Struthio camelus: one gene and its partner. The protein of the gene in region 2 purifies or fractionates together with the protein of the main gene of each other region. This does not show direct contact. Links are inferred from orthologs where the notes say so. Each region holds a gene or a part of one and is shown on either strand. Other genes may lie near its edges.

Region 1 (7,920 bases), on a different chromosome or scaffold from region 2:
GTCATGAAAGCTCACGTGCAAATCTCTGGCAGGAGTTAGGTAGCAATGCATGACAAGAGTTGGGCAGGCTGAAGGGTCTGTGCCTTTACCACTGTGCAAGTCTCCTCTACTGGGAGGAGGACAGACATTCAACATAAAATAAAATTAACAAACCTGAATTATCTAGCCTCCTTAAATTTGGATGACTTTCCTGGTATTTTGACTCTTGCTCTTTGCTAGACATCATTGCTTCTTTTAATCTGGTAACGCAGAGAAAAACAAAACATTCTTATGTACCACAGGCTTGAGTCTGAATCTGTTAAACAAGAACAGGTATTTTGTCCAAGAAGAGTGAGTTTGTTAGGCCCAGTTCAACATGTCTTAAGTGTCATTTGTCTTCAGTGAAAGCACAATAGGCCCCTATGGTGCTGAAGATATCAAAGCTTTGATATCAAGACAAAATTGCTTCCTCATTCTTGGGGACAAATTATTCCTTTCCTCTGGGGGGTGGGGAGGGGAGGGGATGGCTGAAGAGAGATAAGTACTGTAAGATATTCACCTTCACAATATTTATTTTTATTTACAGCTTTTAATAAAAGGTAGAGAAATATACATAACATTTAACAGGAAGCATGTCGATGCTGCAAATCTCGATTTCCTGATAAGACTGGAGTAGGCGCAATAATTCAGAGGGCTCCAAGGAATTACCTGTGATGGCATTTCCTACAAATATGATGTTATTCCTATCACTACTAACATAAAGAAAAGTAAAAATACTTCTAGCAGAGTCAAAGGAAAAAGGATCAACAGATTTCCCTTTATATTTTAAGTTCCAATTTTCCGCTGACTTTTCAGACATGCCACTGGAGATCCAAAAAAGGTCAAAAGGGTAAATGGATTAGGTGAGGAGTTTAGGTGGAAGATATACGAGTGAAACTAGGGAAATTTTGAGAAGACTTTGAGGAGAAAAAAAACAAAAAGCAGGAAAAAAAACCCCAGGAGCCTGGTACTTGGAGAAGTATGGAAGAACACAGTGCGTGTATGCACAGAGTAAAAAGTGAGGGGCCCTGATAACAGAATAAGGGAGGAGTAGGTGACTGGTCTATGTCTCGCTTTACGAAGTACTTCAAAAGAACTACGCTAGATTCAGAACCTCACAAAAAATGTTTAATTCCAGGCAGGTCTCCTGCTTGGCCCCAAGAAAGTACTATCATACCCAAATAAAACATTTATTTCACTTACCTACTGTGAGCATTATACTCAGGGGCTCCGTTCTGCTCTGGCTTGCTGTCTGGAGGTTTGGGTTTGAAGTAGCTTACCAAGCCTCCAAAAACACTCTTAATGCTATTTATGTGTCTTTGACTAGTCTTCAAGTCCTGGTCCATTTTGTCTACCATTTGTTCTGTGCGCTTCAGTACCTCTCCCTGACGTACAAGCTCCTAAAAATATTTACAGAAAAAGGGAAGTTAGTAAGGATAAACTGCAATATCAAACATTTTTAACAGGTACTCTGAAGAAGAATGTTTAACAGAGTTCCTCCATCTATCCACGTTATTTTTAAAGGCATCTAGCCTTTCCACTTACTCCTTTTCCTCCAGGGCATTTCAATCAAGAGTTGCTAGTCAACCACAATGATATGCTATACCAGCTATAAAATTCTCATAACTAAGCAAAGCCCAGTTTCCTGCCACCTACTACAAACAGGATCTAGGAAGTTTTTGTATTGGCCCTCTGTCAGGTTGAAATTTCTATCTGTTCTTGCTGGAACAAGCGTTGTACCAGATGGGTGATGTAGCGAAAACTATGTTTTATCGCATGTGGCTTATGGAATGGCAATGACCAAACAGAATTGCTTCTAGTTGTATCCCCTATCAATGAAAGTCTCATCCACTATTTTCACATTACTGTGGTGTTCTAGATAATTTGGAAAAAGAATTACTACCGGAAATAACTAGAATTTTTCCATACTGCATGATTATTCTTTTTTTTTTGGTGCTAATACCCAAAATGCAGGATTTAGAAATCCTGATACATGCAGCTATGTCATTTACTAATTCAGGGGCACAAACAGTATTCCAAAGCAGTCCAAAGATTAATTCTAGCAGTAAAGTTGCCTGTGGCTAACACTAATGAGAAATAAAGACCGTAGACTCATATTCTCTCCAAAGTTTCGTGAATTCTAGTTGAATATACTTACCTCCTCACTCAAGCAATCCAGCTCAGACAATTCAAATTCTACCATTAACCCTACATCAAGTCTACGTCCTCGACTGCTTTTTGGGCTTCTCTTAAAAAAAAGAAATCACACCTTGGCAAGCTCACACAAGTGACACAAATAGCCCTCTTCAGCCTAACTACCTATGACAGCCTGTGGATGGTCTCAGTATGACACAGGTCATCATGCTACTAACGTTCAAGTAAACACCCCATTAACGGGTGACATAATCCACATAGCCTTTACTAATGAGGTCTCTTAAGGTAAACCCTGTTCTGAAACAACTCCAAAAGAACGAAGGAAATGATTAACAGGGATAAAACCGGGCCCATCATAAACAACTACTCCAGCAGACTTGTCATGTACGCAAGGGAACAGCTGAGGCTTTCAGGAGAACTTTTCACCCAGATAAAAATCAGTAACCATTAACACGCACTTGTAAGAATGCTTAAAAGCTGTGGAAAACACAGCGGAGCTGCAGTCTCGAGGCTCTACAGATAAAGCAGGCCTGTCCTCCAGGGACACGCTGCCTCCGGAACGCTGAGCGGCTGGGGGGGCTCCGGCCCGGCCGCCGCCCCGCAGACCCACCTCGGAGGCGGCCACGCCGACGCGCTCCGACTCGTAGAGCAGGGCCAGGGAGCGGGCCGTGCTGTCGGCCGTGGCGGCCGAGCGCCGCAGCACCTCCCGCTGCAGGTAGCGCTGCCGCTCGGCGCCGCCCGCCGCCGCCACCTCGGCCGCCTCCTCCTCGTCGGCCGCGAAGGGGTTGTAGCTCCTCGGCGGCGCCGCCATGGTGCCGCCGCCCGCCTCGCCCTGTGAGGAAGAGGCCGCAGTGAGCGCGCGCCGCCGCCCGCACCCCGCTCCACAACGGCGCCCGCCGCCGCCGCTCACCCCCGGCTCCTTCCGCCCGCAGGCCGCCGCCGCGCCGGGCGGAACCACGGCGACCCCCCCCCGGGGCGGGGCGAGCGCGCGGCCGCTCCTCTGGGGGCGGGCGGTGGCGGGCAGGAACCATCACGGCAACGGGGGGGGGGGGGAAGAGGCGGGGGGGACGATGATAACCCTCCATCAGTGAAGCCGCGGCGGGCGCCGCCATCTTTATGGCGCGATTGGCCGCCTTGCGGTCCCGCGGGGAGGGCGGCGGTCTCGCGAGAGGCGCGCCGGCGGCCCGTCTTGGGGGCGAGGCGCGGGCTCCCCCTCCCCCACAACATGGCGGCGGCGGCAGTGGCGGCGGCGGCCGCGGCTGCAGCGACGGCCGCGGCGGCGGCGACGGCAACGGCGGCCGCGGCGGCGGCTGCTCCTGCCGCGGGCGCGGGCGCGGGCGCGGGCCGGGGGGGCAGCGCGGGCACCGCGCGCGGCTTCTACTTCAACACGGTGCTGTCGCTGGCGCGGTCGCTGGCAGTGCAGAGCCCGGCGCCTCTGGAGAAGGTGAGGGCGGAGCGGGGTCCCGCGGGGCGCGTCCGTGGGGAGGGGCGGCCACGCGTGTTGGGGCTGCGTGTGTGAGGGAGAGGAGGCCCCACGCGCGTCGGGACTGCGTGTGGGGGACCTGCTATGCGTGCTAGGGCTGTATGTGTGGGAGGGGAGGCTGTCGCGCGTGCTGGGGCTGCGTGGGGGGGGAGAGGATGTCGTGCATGTCGAGGCTGCGTGGGGGTAGCTGGTATGTGTGCCAGGGCTGTATGCGTGTGTGAGGGGAGGCGGCTGCGTGGGGGGAGGGGAGGCCGTTCACGCGTGTCGTGGCTGCGTGTCGGGGGCTGTCACGCGTGCTGCTGCTGCCTGTGCGTGGGAGGGGAGGCTGTCACACGTACTGGGGCTGCGTGTACGTGGTGGGAGGGGAAGTTGTTCACGCATGTCGGAGCTGCGTGGGGGAAGGGGCAGCCGTTATGCGTGTTGGGGCTGCGTGTGCGTGGGAGGGAGGCTGTTCACGTGTGTCGGGGCTGTGTGGGGGAAGGGGAGGCTGTTCACGTGTGTTGGGGTGGCTGTCACGCATGTCGGGGCTGTGTGTGTGGAAGGGGAGGCTGTTCACGTGTGTTGGGGTGGCTGTCACGCATGTCGGGGCTGTGTGTGTGGAAGGGGAGGCTGTTCACGTGTGTTGGGGTGGCTGTCACGCATGTCGGGGCTGTGTGTGTGGAAGGGGAGGCTGTTCACGTGTGTTGGGGTGGCTGTCACGCATGTCGGGGCTGCGTGTGTGTGGGAGGGGTGGCCGTCACGTGTGTCGGGGCTGCTTGGGGGAAGGGACCACTGTCATGCGTGTCAGGGCTGCGTGTGTGCGGGAGGGAGGCTGTTCACGTGTGTCGGGGCTGTGTGAGGGAAGGGGTGGCCGTCACGCGTGTCGGGGCTGTGTGTGCATGGAGGGGAGGCTGCTCACGTGTGTTGAGGCAGCTGTCACGTGTGTCAGGGCTGTGTGTGTGGGAGGGAGGCTGCTCACATGTGTTGGGGCTGTGGGAGAGAAGGAGCGGCTGTCACGCGTGTCGGGGCTGCGTGTGCGTGGAGGGGAGGCTGTTCACGTGTGTTGGGGTGGCTGTCACGCGTGTCGGGGCTGTGTGTGTGGGAGGGGCTGCTGTCATGCATGTCGGGGTTGTGTGTGTGCATGAGGGGAGGCTGTTCATGTGTGTTGGGGTGGCTGTCACGCGTGTCGGGGCTGCTTAGGGGAAGGGGCTGCCGTCACGTGTGTCAGGGCTGCGTGTGTGCGGGAGGGGAGGCTGTCGCGCGTGCCGGCTGCGTGTCGGGATGGCCACACGAGTCACAGCTGCGTGTGCACGCTGTGCTGTGCGGGAGGCCTCGAGGCCGGCACGCGGGGGGCGCGCGTCCCGGCCGTGGGTGGCGCGGGGCTGCGGAGCCTGTTGCGCATGCGTGGTCCAGGCTACTGCCTGCGGCCGTGTCATGCGCGTGGGCTGAGGCGAGGATGAGCGTGTCCCGCTGCAGGTGGGAGCCACGGCCGTGGGGGCTGCGGTTAGCTGTGCGGGCCAGCGTGCGCGCGGGGGGCCGCTGCCTGCGAGCGCTGCGCCTGCGCCGAGGTGGCGTGTGGCCTTCTGGTGGCTCCTTTTTACTGAGACGTAAATAACTGCGTGGCTTGAGGTGCTGCTGTGTAAGGAGGGCGCCACGGTCGTGCGTGCTTCAGAACCGCTCTGTAGCTGTCTATGTGGAGAAAAGGGTCCTCGAGAGCTGCGGGGTGACTGTGGATCCCGGGAGTTCGTGGAACATAGTCTTGAGACATAACCAGCTTGATTAGCATAGCTGGGTCTGCTTGGTTAAATCAAAGTGGTGCAATCACCTAAAGGTGAAAACTGTCCGATTAAGATGAAGATCGATTCAATGCAAACCTGAATAGGTGAATTTTAGTCTTGGAAACAGTTTCCTTTGTGGGTCTTTATTGCTCACGTGAAACAGCTGGTTGATTCAAGTTGTGCAGAAAAAGAGAAATAAGACAGCCTAATGTTTCAGTAGTTGGCTTCTCTCTGCATAAATTGGTTGAACTCCTAAATTGCCTCACACACTAATGAAAGATGACTAAATTGTTGAAAAGCACAGCTCTGTGCTGATGCTATAGTATGTGACTTATTTTTGGCTAGCTTTTCGGACTTTCTTTCTTAGTTCTTGCTTTGGAAATTTGCCATTAGTCTGACAGCCAATTGTAAATAAATCTTTTATATCTCCCTGTTGGTTCACCAGGATCCAGTGATTCTGTAGTTTATAAGAGTCTACACTAGGAGTTAAATTATATTAACAGTTATATCTCATTAAAGGTATTTACTCATGTTTTTCAGCATAATAACCTGATGTGGAATGCACGCATTAGAAGTTATTTTCCAAAGGTTTTCTTTCATTTGCTGTACTTCATGTTAAGGAAGAGGATTATTAAAACTGTATTACAGGTTTTGTAATTACAAGGTAGGACAGTGTAAGGCTCAGAATCTTAGCTTGCACTGGGCCCCGGTAGGTTCTTCTAATTCTCTAAGGAGACAGTTTCTTGGTTTAGAAATTTCAAGGCAGGATGTTTAAAGTGAGTTATCCAAATAGGAAGGAACTTGACATTCAAACATAAGTATTCATTATGACAGTCTCTTCTTGGTAGTGTTTATTAGCATCAAGGAGACTTACGGAAAGTCCGTATGTATGCCTGCATTTTTCCCCTTTTCACTGTTCTGTAGGCAAACTAAATATCTGAGAGTTTTGGTATATTCTTTAGTTGTGTGTTAGCTGGGTATGGAATGAAGTAATAGGTAAGCAGTGGGGAAAATACTTAAGTCTGTTACATTGAAAGAATTTGAGCAAAAGTCACACTTATTTAAGCAGCAGAGTTTATTTTGGAGTGCTGTGTATGAAGAAAGCATTGGTGTAACTGTAACAACAGCTCTATCCACCTAGTTCTTGTTTACAGGGATTGAGTAGATACTATGTGTGTGTGCCTGTTGCGTATTTCTTGCACATCCCAAATGAATTAGTTGGAGAAAACTTTTAAATTTACCCTTGTTGTGGTAAATGTTTGACAGTTATTTGTAGAATTTTCTATCTTTTTCTAGTATCTGTCATTCTTCACTCTTTCCTAGCTAGCCCTTAGATGAGTTCATTAAAAGATTGATGACTACAGGAGGGGTAATATGGCCATCTGATTCCCTTGCAGAAAAGGGAAATGCTACTGTCCGCTTCAGCTGTAGGAAGTCTAAACGAATCTTTCTGAAAATTGCAGCCTGTCAGCTTGTTTCTCTGCTGTGAGAATATTTGCAATTGCATTAGTACTACCCAGGCCTATTGCTTGCTGTACTCTAGGGCATGAATGTGATGGCCAGCTCTCTTTTCCATAAATGAAAAGCTGGGAGCTGTTTGCATTGCTCTCTTCAGGTCTACTGGTGGATATTTGAAAGGCAGTTTTAAGACATGTGCTGTTGTTACTTTGGAATGTGTTTTGACAGTTTTGATCTTCTTCTCCTGGCCTTTCCCGCCGCTGTTTTTCAGGTACAAAAACTGCTCTGTATGTGTCCAGTGGATTTCCATGGGATTTTCCAGTTAGATGAACGTCGCAGAGATGCTGTAATTGCTTTGGGAATCTTTCTAATTGAATCTGATCTTCAGGTATTATTTTTCCCCTCATATTAATTGTATTTCACTGAAAGATTTTAGAATAATTCAAATTTAGTTGTTCAGTGGATGCAAAGTTGGTATTTACTGTACACTGGAATTACTGTAGTGTCAAGAACCTTAAAATCATGAATGTGTTACGCATATGCAAGCGTCCTTGCTCTAAAAAGTTGACTGAATACAAGGTCACAGATAGCAGATGGATTACAGGCAGGAGAGCACAAGGAAGTAAGGACAGTACTGAGGAGTGTGATAGGCAGTGGTCAAGGCACTGTCATAGCCAAACTGCTGTCATGTTTTTTTGTGGACATCATAGCAAAGTAGAGCTTATTGAGGAGGGAAAGCAAAGGTTAAATTGTTTTACAGAGGTTTATGGGGGATTATAGGCAACATAAAGGTGGTTGTTTGCAAATCTTAAGTAGCAGTTAATGAATAGACTGGAACTTCTGATTTTCTAGCAACCTTAAAATTATTTTGAGACATTGCTGTGTGTTTTGCTGTATGCTAATACATGAGTTAGGGGGGGGGGGAAAAAAGATTCAGAGTAATAATTAACCCCAGCTTTTACAGTGAATGAGCTGTTGCTTAGAACGGCATGACTGGATTTACAGCACTGAATTAAGTGGTTGACTTCTTTTTGCTTGTGTTGAAATCAA
Region 2 (6,997 bases):
TGGGCTTAGACTTTGCATAAAATATTTCAACATTTCCATACTTCATTGTCAAATGGAGATCTTCAACTATTACTCAACCAAATGCAGCATAACAAGAGCTCCGACTACGTATAAATTATTCAGGGTCTCCCATGTTATTCTGTGTGGGTTCTGAACGTCATTTTTTGGGACGAGTTTTAAAGATAACAGTAGTTAAAATAAGAGTTTGATATGTTCTCCAGATTTAAAAAAAAAAAATAAGTAACTGTATGTAGGCAGAGAAGGATTCGCTGGATTTTTGGGGGCTTTTAAAACTAGAAACCTGTTAAAGAATTAATGTGTATATCAGAGATTACACTTGCAAGTTAAATTGCTTAATCTTGGCAGAAGCAGCTAAACTGCTGCTAGGCTATAACAAGCAAGGCTATAACAAAGTATTTGAAAGAAGCTTTCGAAAAATACATATTCAAGTCAAATTGTATTTTGCTGAAGGAAGCACTCAAAATTATGATCAATTTTACTACAAAACCTCCCCTTTCACTGTAGTTTATATGCTGCGTTTCCCCATTAGAATTAGATCTTAGAGAAGGCCTAAAAAGCTGTCATAAATCCTTCTCCGGTCTGGTAGGTTGTTGGCTCCACTGTCACAAATACAGCTAAACTACAGGAGCAGAGACAGACCAGGCCCAATCTATTGCACTCTCTCGTACTCACTCAGCAGCAGTTAACAGGAATCACGTTCAAAGGTGCTCAGCAACACATTTTTGGCCTTACCTTTTTCTCCAAGTCATCGTTTATGCGACTACCACCAGTTAAACTCATTCTCCTCTTCCCCTCAAAAAGACTGCTCAGTTCATCCACTGTGGCATTAACTGTTTACTTCACCCTTAACAAGCTGCTGTAATTAAACAGATGCTTTTAGCCATATCTTTGCCCTTTCTATTGCCTGGACAGTGCTCCTAGGAAACTAAGAAAGGACAAGGAGCTCAGATAACAGAAGACAAGCAATAATAAATGTGAATAGGGGCAAAAAAGGAATAAGGTAGCAGAAAAAGTATACTCCTACAGCACGTCATCACAGCACAGGACTATGGCTGGGCAGCGAGGAGAGGATGAAGGTGAGGCTGGGCCTGAGTACGAACAGAACTTGAGAAAGACGACGAAACCTGGGAGGCAGCAAGTTCAAGGGAGCATTGGTGGCAGGAAGGGAAGACAGAGAAGAGAGGGGTGAGGAAGAAGAAGCGGGCACGGATCCAATCTGAGGCTATAAATTATTTGAAATACAGACTACTTCTATGATCAGAAACCTAGAAATATGGAGAGAGGCTGAAGCGAATGCAACTGCAGATAAGGAACCAAAGCGCAGACACAGACAGTACTGGAAGCAACGGAGCAGAGGGTTAAAGCTTTGGAGGAAGCGAATACAAGGCTGTGGCTATACGAATATCTAGGATGGAAGCCGACAATTCTCAAATTTCTCCCTTGCTCTGCCTCAGCAAATAACTGCAAAACACTTGGGCAGAACATCTGGACACTGTCTAGTGCTAAACCCTTAGAGGATAACAACCTGCTGCCAGCATTAGCCCAAGCGCTGGAGTTCTGAATAGCAGACTAAAAGTTGCAGTCATGTTGATGATGTAGATAAATGTCAATATGATGCCATGTGATAAAATTTCAATCCTTTTTAAAAATTCTAGGAATTCACATACACACAAATCGTGTAAAGGTTGCCCTGTTCTACTGCAAGTCTAAAGCAGTCTGTTCACTCTAAGGCTGCAGAATTTGAAATAATTTTAGCTAAATCAGCAGATGCCCCCCCAAAAAAAAGTACATCTCATGATCAAAGATCTTGAACGTAGTTTTACAGACTGGTCTTATCCCTACAGATAGATCCCTACCACAGATCTCATAGCCAATATTAAGCAAGTCACTTAAATCAACTTTTAATAGGGGATTAATAACTATATGTTCATTTAACATATACCCAAGTTGTCACCCTTCTTAAGCCTCAAAGCAATCACTGAACGACTTAAAATAAAACTTTAAGTGTTATAAAACACATTAGTTATAAAACACTATCTCTGAAATTGGAAAACAATAATTAAGTAAGACCTAAATTTAACACTAATCTCTGTCCTTGAAAACTAAACCATTCAGAACTCAGTAAACGTCAGAAACAAGACTGCCTGTGTACTCGTGGTGTAGTCCTACACTTGCACGTGCATCATGACGTGGTTTTTACACCATTATATGTCATTTTCTGTAAGAGTTTTCTCAGACAGTGCCCTGAACAGCCTTTTCCTGTTAGTTTGAATTGCAAAGTTTGGTCCAGTGCCTTAACCCAGGTGCATTACTCAAATCCCACTGAGACATCAAAACTTTTTCCCTACCATTTGCTCTGTACGGAGGAAAACAATCTACAAGAAATTTGCTTTTACAGCACTACTGCTGATTACGGATGTTATCGTTCCTGGTCAGTTTAGCTCCGTAAGCCCTCAATTCCTCAGTGCTTAGCTTTTCAACTCTTAAAATGTTCTGATTAGGTTTTTTTTCCCTCTCTCTTTTTTTTACACATGGCTCATCTAGAAATGGCACTGCACAGCCACACTGCGCAACAAGAAGAAAAACCTGAAGAGAGCACGCATATATGTACATACACATATACACACATACACTGCAGCCCCTCCCGAGGCGGCGGCGGCGGCGGCCCACGGCGCAGGAGAGGCGGGCGCGCCCCGCGGGAAGCCGCCGCCGCCGCCCTCGACAAGCTCCTCCGCCTCTCCGCGGCCAGGGCAGGCGCCCCCCAGCCGCGGCCCGCGCGGGGCCGCCGATGCCCCCCGCCCCGGACGCCTGGGCCCCCTCCTCCCCGGGGGGGGGGGGAGGGGAGGCGCAGGGCGCCGCCGCACTCACCACCTCACGGGCCCGGCTGGAGAAGTCGCTCTTGGAGCGGGCCGCGCCGCGCTTGAGCAGCTCATCCCTGGCGCTGTCGCCGGCCGCCGCCACCCCCAGCGCCTTGTTGCGGGTCTTCACCGTCTTCACGCTGGCCTTGAAGAGCAGCGTGATGTCGACGGCCATGGCGCCGCGCCGCGCCCCGCCCCCCCCCGCCGCGCCAGCCGGCGGCCGGTGCCCCCGCGCCGCCTTCCCCGCGCAACGCGGCACCGGCGCGCGCGTTCCGCCCCGCCGCAGAGCGCCGGCGCTTCCGGCTGCGGCGCGTGGGCAGGCGGCGGGCCGGGCCGGGCCGGGCCGGGGCTTAGCGGCGAGGCGGCAGCCTGGCTGCTGCCTCCTCCTAGCGAATGGCAGCGTTTGCAGAGCGAAACACGAGCTGCGTTTCGCCACCGGAGCGGGGGGAAGGGGGCAGTTCAACCTGATTTCATTTGTCTTGGCACTTGCAGCGGATGGGCAGCTGCGCTGCCTGGCAGGGCCCTGCCTTTGAATCCCTGCTCTCCGGCTCCTTCGGCCGCAACCACATATAACTTTAAGAACATAATTCGGTCTCCCAGGGTTTTTTTTTTTTTTTAACCCAGCAGCTACCTGGGGTTTCCAGGGTTTTGAATGAAAGGAAAACACCTGGCTGTTACAAAATTACCTCCCTTTAAAGACCTGTCTACGCCTGAAAGCTTTGGCAGTACAGGGACACTGCCCGAACCCCCCAAGTACACGCACACACCCCCACCAGCACACGCTTCGTTCTCTGCGCGTACAGTACTCCAGTTTAGCAAGTGAAATACTTCTTATCAACTGCATTTTCAAGGAGATTTGGCTAAAGTAGCTATGGCACGTTTGAAAAAAAAAAAAGTCATTCCAACAAAGCGTTGCAGCCTAGACCACCTAGCTGGGGTGTCACGGTAGGTGTCACCAGGTGGAGCTGTTAGACATACATAGTTTTCCAAGTTTATAGCTTGTGCATGGAAAGACAGGTTAATTAGTTGATTAATACACAACAGCAGATTTGCACTGGGATCTGGGACTGGTACTGGTGTGAGATTTCTGGAGGAAGTAGTCATATCTGTATGTATTTTGACTATTCATTCACAAACTGTATAAATAAAGTATCCTTGTTACACACCTAGGATGTGCAACAAAGATTTCTTCTCTGGGCGGAAGCTGATCTTCAGGGTCCATGAGGTCTGACACCACTTGACACTGGGACAATGTCATGTTGGTACCCAAAAGATATCTCACACTGTGAATTACAATTCACATTAACTGATTCTGAAGAAAGCTTTGTGAAATAACCTTTGCTACTATTATTACTGAGACAGATTCATTACCGTGTTCTGTCCACAGGTAGACAAGCTACTTGAAAGGAAATCGCGTGGCTCAGAGGGGGAAACTTTTGACCACACAGCCGCTGGTGGTGTTACATGTATGCCACAGCGCCCCGGGATTCAGCAGATGCTATGTACTTTTTAACTTAGCTCAAACTGACCAGAAGCACATTTCCTCACACAGACTCCACAGAACAGACCTTCAAAATTTTGCCTTTCCACAGCAAACTGGAACTTAATGAACTACGCTTATTTTTCCTACTTGCTCCATAGTAACAGGCTTTCTTCCAATATTATTTAGTACCCTGCTTTCAGTTCAGTTCTCTTCAGTTCAGTCTGAGCTGTAGATTAGTGAATCCTTCACAGTTACATTGTGATTAGTATTTATTCATACTTTGTTAATATTGTTCTAATCTAAATTGTGTTTTTATGGCAGTATGGATATGTATTTCTAATTAAAAGAATATACACTTCAAGTCACTGTCCTCGGTGCTGGATTTATAGTGAAAACATATTAAAGATAGATATTAACAAAATGGACAACTAAGGAGACTAGACTTTTCATTCCAAGAATGCCAATAGTATTTGAGTAAAACTAGAGCCAAACACCTTTGCTCTTTTAAGATTAAGAAATACAGTATGGAGATGCTTTAGCAAAGTACGTATTTAATAAAGCATGGAATTTACATTTAAATTAGATACTTTCAGGTATATGTCCTGAAATTACTTATTTCTACTTTGCATTACCAAAAGCAAAGCAAGCACACTTAAAATTCCAGGAGTGTCTCACACTGATCACAGACATGCCTAATCTGAAACTCACTGAAGACAATTCTGACATGTAAGTTTACCATTGCTATGTGTTAGGATAATTTTCAGATGCTTTGATTCTGCCATTCTTAGAGTACTAATGCCTCACTTCACAAACACCTTACTTCACGGACATTTGCACAGGTAACTTCTTGCCAACAGTAATAAGAGCTTCACAGCTTGGCCCAAAGTAATATGGTCCTGAAAATGTAAGTGGCAGAATTAAATTGTGTTTTTGTGCATACTCGGCTGTATACCGTGTTCCAGTGTTCAATGAAGTTAACATTTACACTGACTTGAAATATTGCCATTTGTTTAAGTGCCCATTGGATAAGAATGTTTGTTTTTTTGATTTTAGAATGTTGCTTTTGTACATTTAAACTGTAAGAATATCAAAGTCATTTTGAAACTTGAATCTTCATCTTACCTTCCTGGTTTTAGAAACAACAGCTTACTGGTGCCTGTCATCTTATAGTTTGTTCATTTTCTAATGAAATTTAGGTACTTATAAATAATTAAAATATTGTATATGATTTTGGATTAAAAAAAGAAACTGCAGTTCATTAAGGCAAAGTATATTCTAAAAAAACACAGTATAATTTCCCTCCCAACTTTGCAAAGACTTATACACATACTTAATCTCTGTGATACTATGAATACCACTGAGTTCAATAGAGCCACACATATCACATACGGTTAAGTGCATAACCCTTTTATCAGATCAAGATGTTGGCTGTAAACTCTTCAGGACCAAGACTGTGTCTTTATTTCTACTTTTACTTATTTATTTGGGCTTTATGTCCACAAACAACAGTGTGCATGTGACCAGCAGTTCCTGAAAAACACCCCAAAACAGTAACAGTAATATTATACAGGCTATTCTCGTACTTATACAGTCTTAAAACTTTCACTCAGGCACAAGGAAATAAATAGTAATGCATTTTTGAAAAGAAACACAGTATTAACATTCCTTACAGCTGATCTCATCTGTCAGAAATGGACTGAACAACTAATCTGGTAAAGGAAAAAGTTAAAATACCTTTTTAACCTGAAAGAAGGTTGCTCAAATGGTCTAACTCATTAGGTATATAATACCCAGGGCCTCTGCTGTAGAGATAAATAGATAGCTTTGAAGATTACAAACTACTTTAAAATCAGTTGCTAAGAACTGGTGCCCAGAGCTTTTATTTGAACTTGATCCTAGCTTCCTGTATACAGTAACTGCATCTACTCAGTAGTTACTTGCACTTCCACAGCCACCTTGTTTTGAAAGTATAAAGCTAACTTTGGAGCAGATAGGTTTCAATAGTACATGCTGGTGCTTCCTGTAATTGCTAAAAAGGCTAACCTGGAAATCTAAGATTTTTAAGGTTGGAGTAAATTTCCAAAACACACACAAAGGTCTACAGTCCCACCATAAGTGCTGCAGGTAAATGTGTAAAAATGCACGCACTGGGCACTCAGTCATGCCTCAGCAGAAGCATGCTGGGAAGAGGAAGAGATAGGAGTTTGCAAAGTATAATGGCCTTGTACGCAGCATGAGGACTGCATGATGATCACCAGGTCTTGGTGTACCTGCTTAACAGGCATGTCCAGTAAAATGCTTCGGGCAAACCTGCCAGTCAAAAGGAGATCAAAGCTTTGCTGCAGTTATCAATCAATACGTCCATTCAAGAGGGGCTGATGGGTTCATCTCTGCTCAGAGACAGGTAACTTCATGATTAGTTAAGTTCCTTTTACATGAGAGGTAAATGGAAGGGATAAAGCTCCTGCACTTCTTTCCTTCCAATGCAGTCCAGCTACTAAGGTCCTAACTTGGCCCTGACCGCAGAAAACTATACCCAGTGCATTTTATATGTTCTCTATTTTTTCTGGCATAAAAACAGTAACTTTCTTTATGTGATGATAAGGTTACAAACTGAACCAAATATCAAAAGGAA

The links.
Region 1: the proteins of STX18 (region 2) and SNAP29 purify together in Homo sapiens (affinity purification with mass spectrometry; 3 studies listed by BioGRID and IntAct, counting the BioPlex papers as one, with this or other methods). This does not show direct contact. The link is inferred for Struthio camelus from reciprocal best matches to the Homo sapiens genes STX18 and SNAP29.

What each region holds. Positions count from the first base shown.
Region 1 is NC_090958.1:9,921,891-9,929,810, forward strand, and holds the start of SNAP29 (synaptosomal-associated protein 29), read right to left. Parts: upstream 3,103-7,920; 5' UTR 3,083-3,102; intron 3,081-3,082; exon of another isoform or gene 3,005-3,080; 5' UTR 2,984-3,004; coding exon 2,783-2,983; intron 1,419-2,782; coding exon 1,222-1,418; intron 240-1,221; coding exon 154-239; intron 1-153. UniProt on the Homo sapiens protein: SNAREs, soluble N-ethylmaleimide-sensitive factor-attachment protein receptors, are essential proteins for fusion of cellular membranes.
Region 2 is NC_090945.1:72,822,451-72,829,447, forward strand, and holds the start of STX18 (syntaxin-18), read right to left. Parts: upstream 3,104-6,997; 5' UTR 3,055-3,103; coding exon 2,890-3,054; intron 1-2,889. UniProt on the Homo sapiens protein: Syntaxin that may be involved in targeting and fusion of Golgi-derived retrograde transport vesicles with the ER.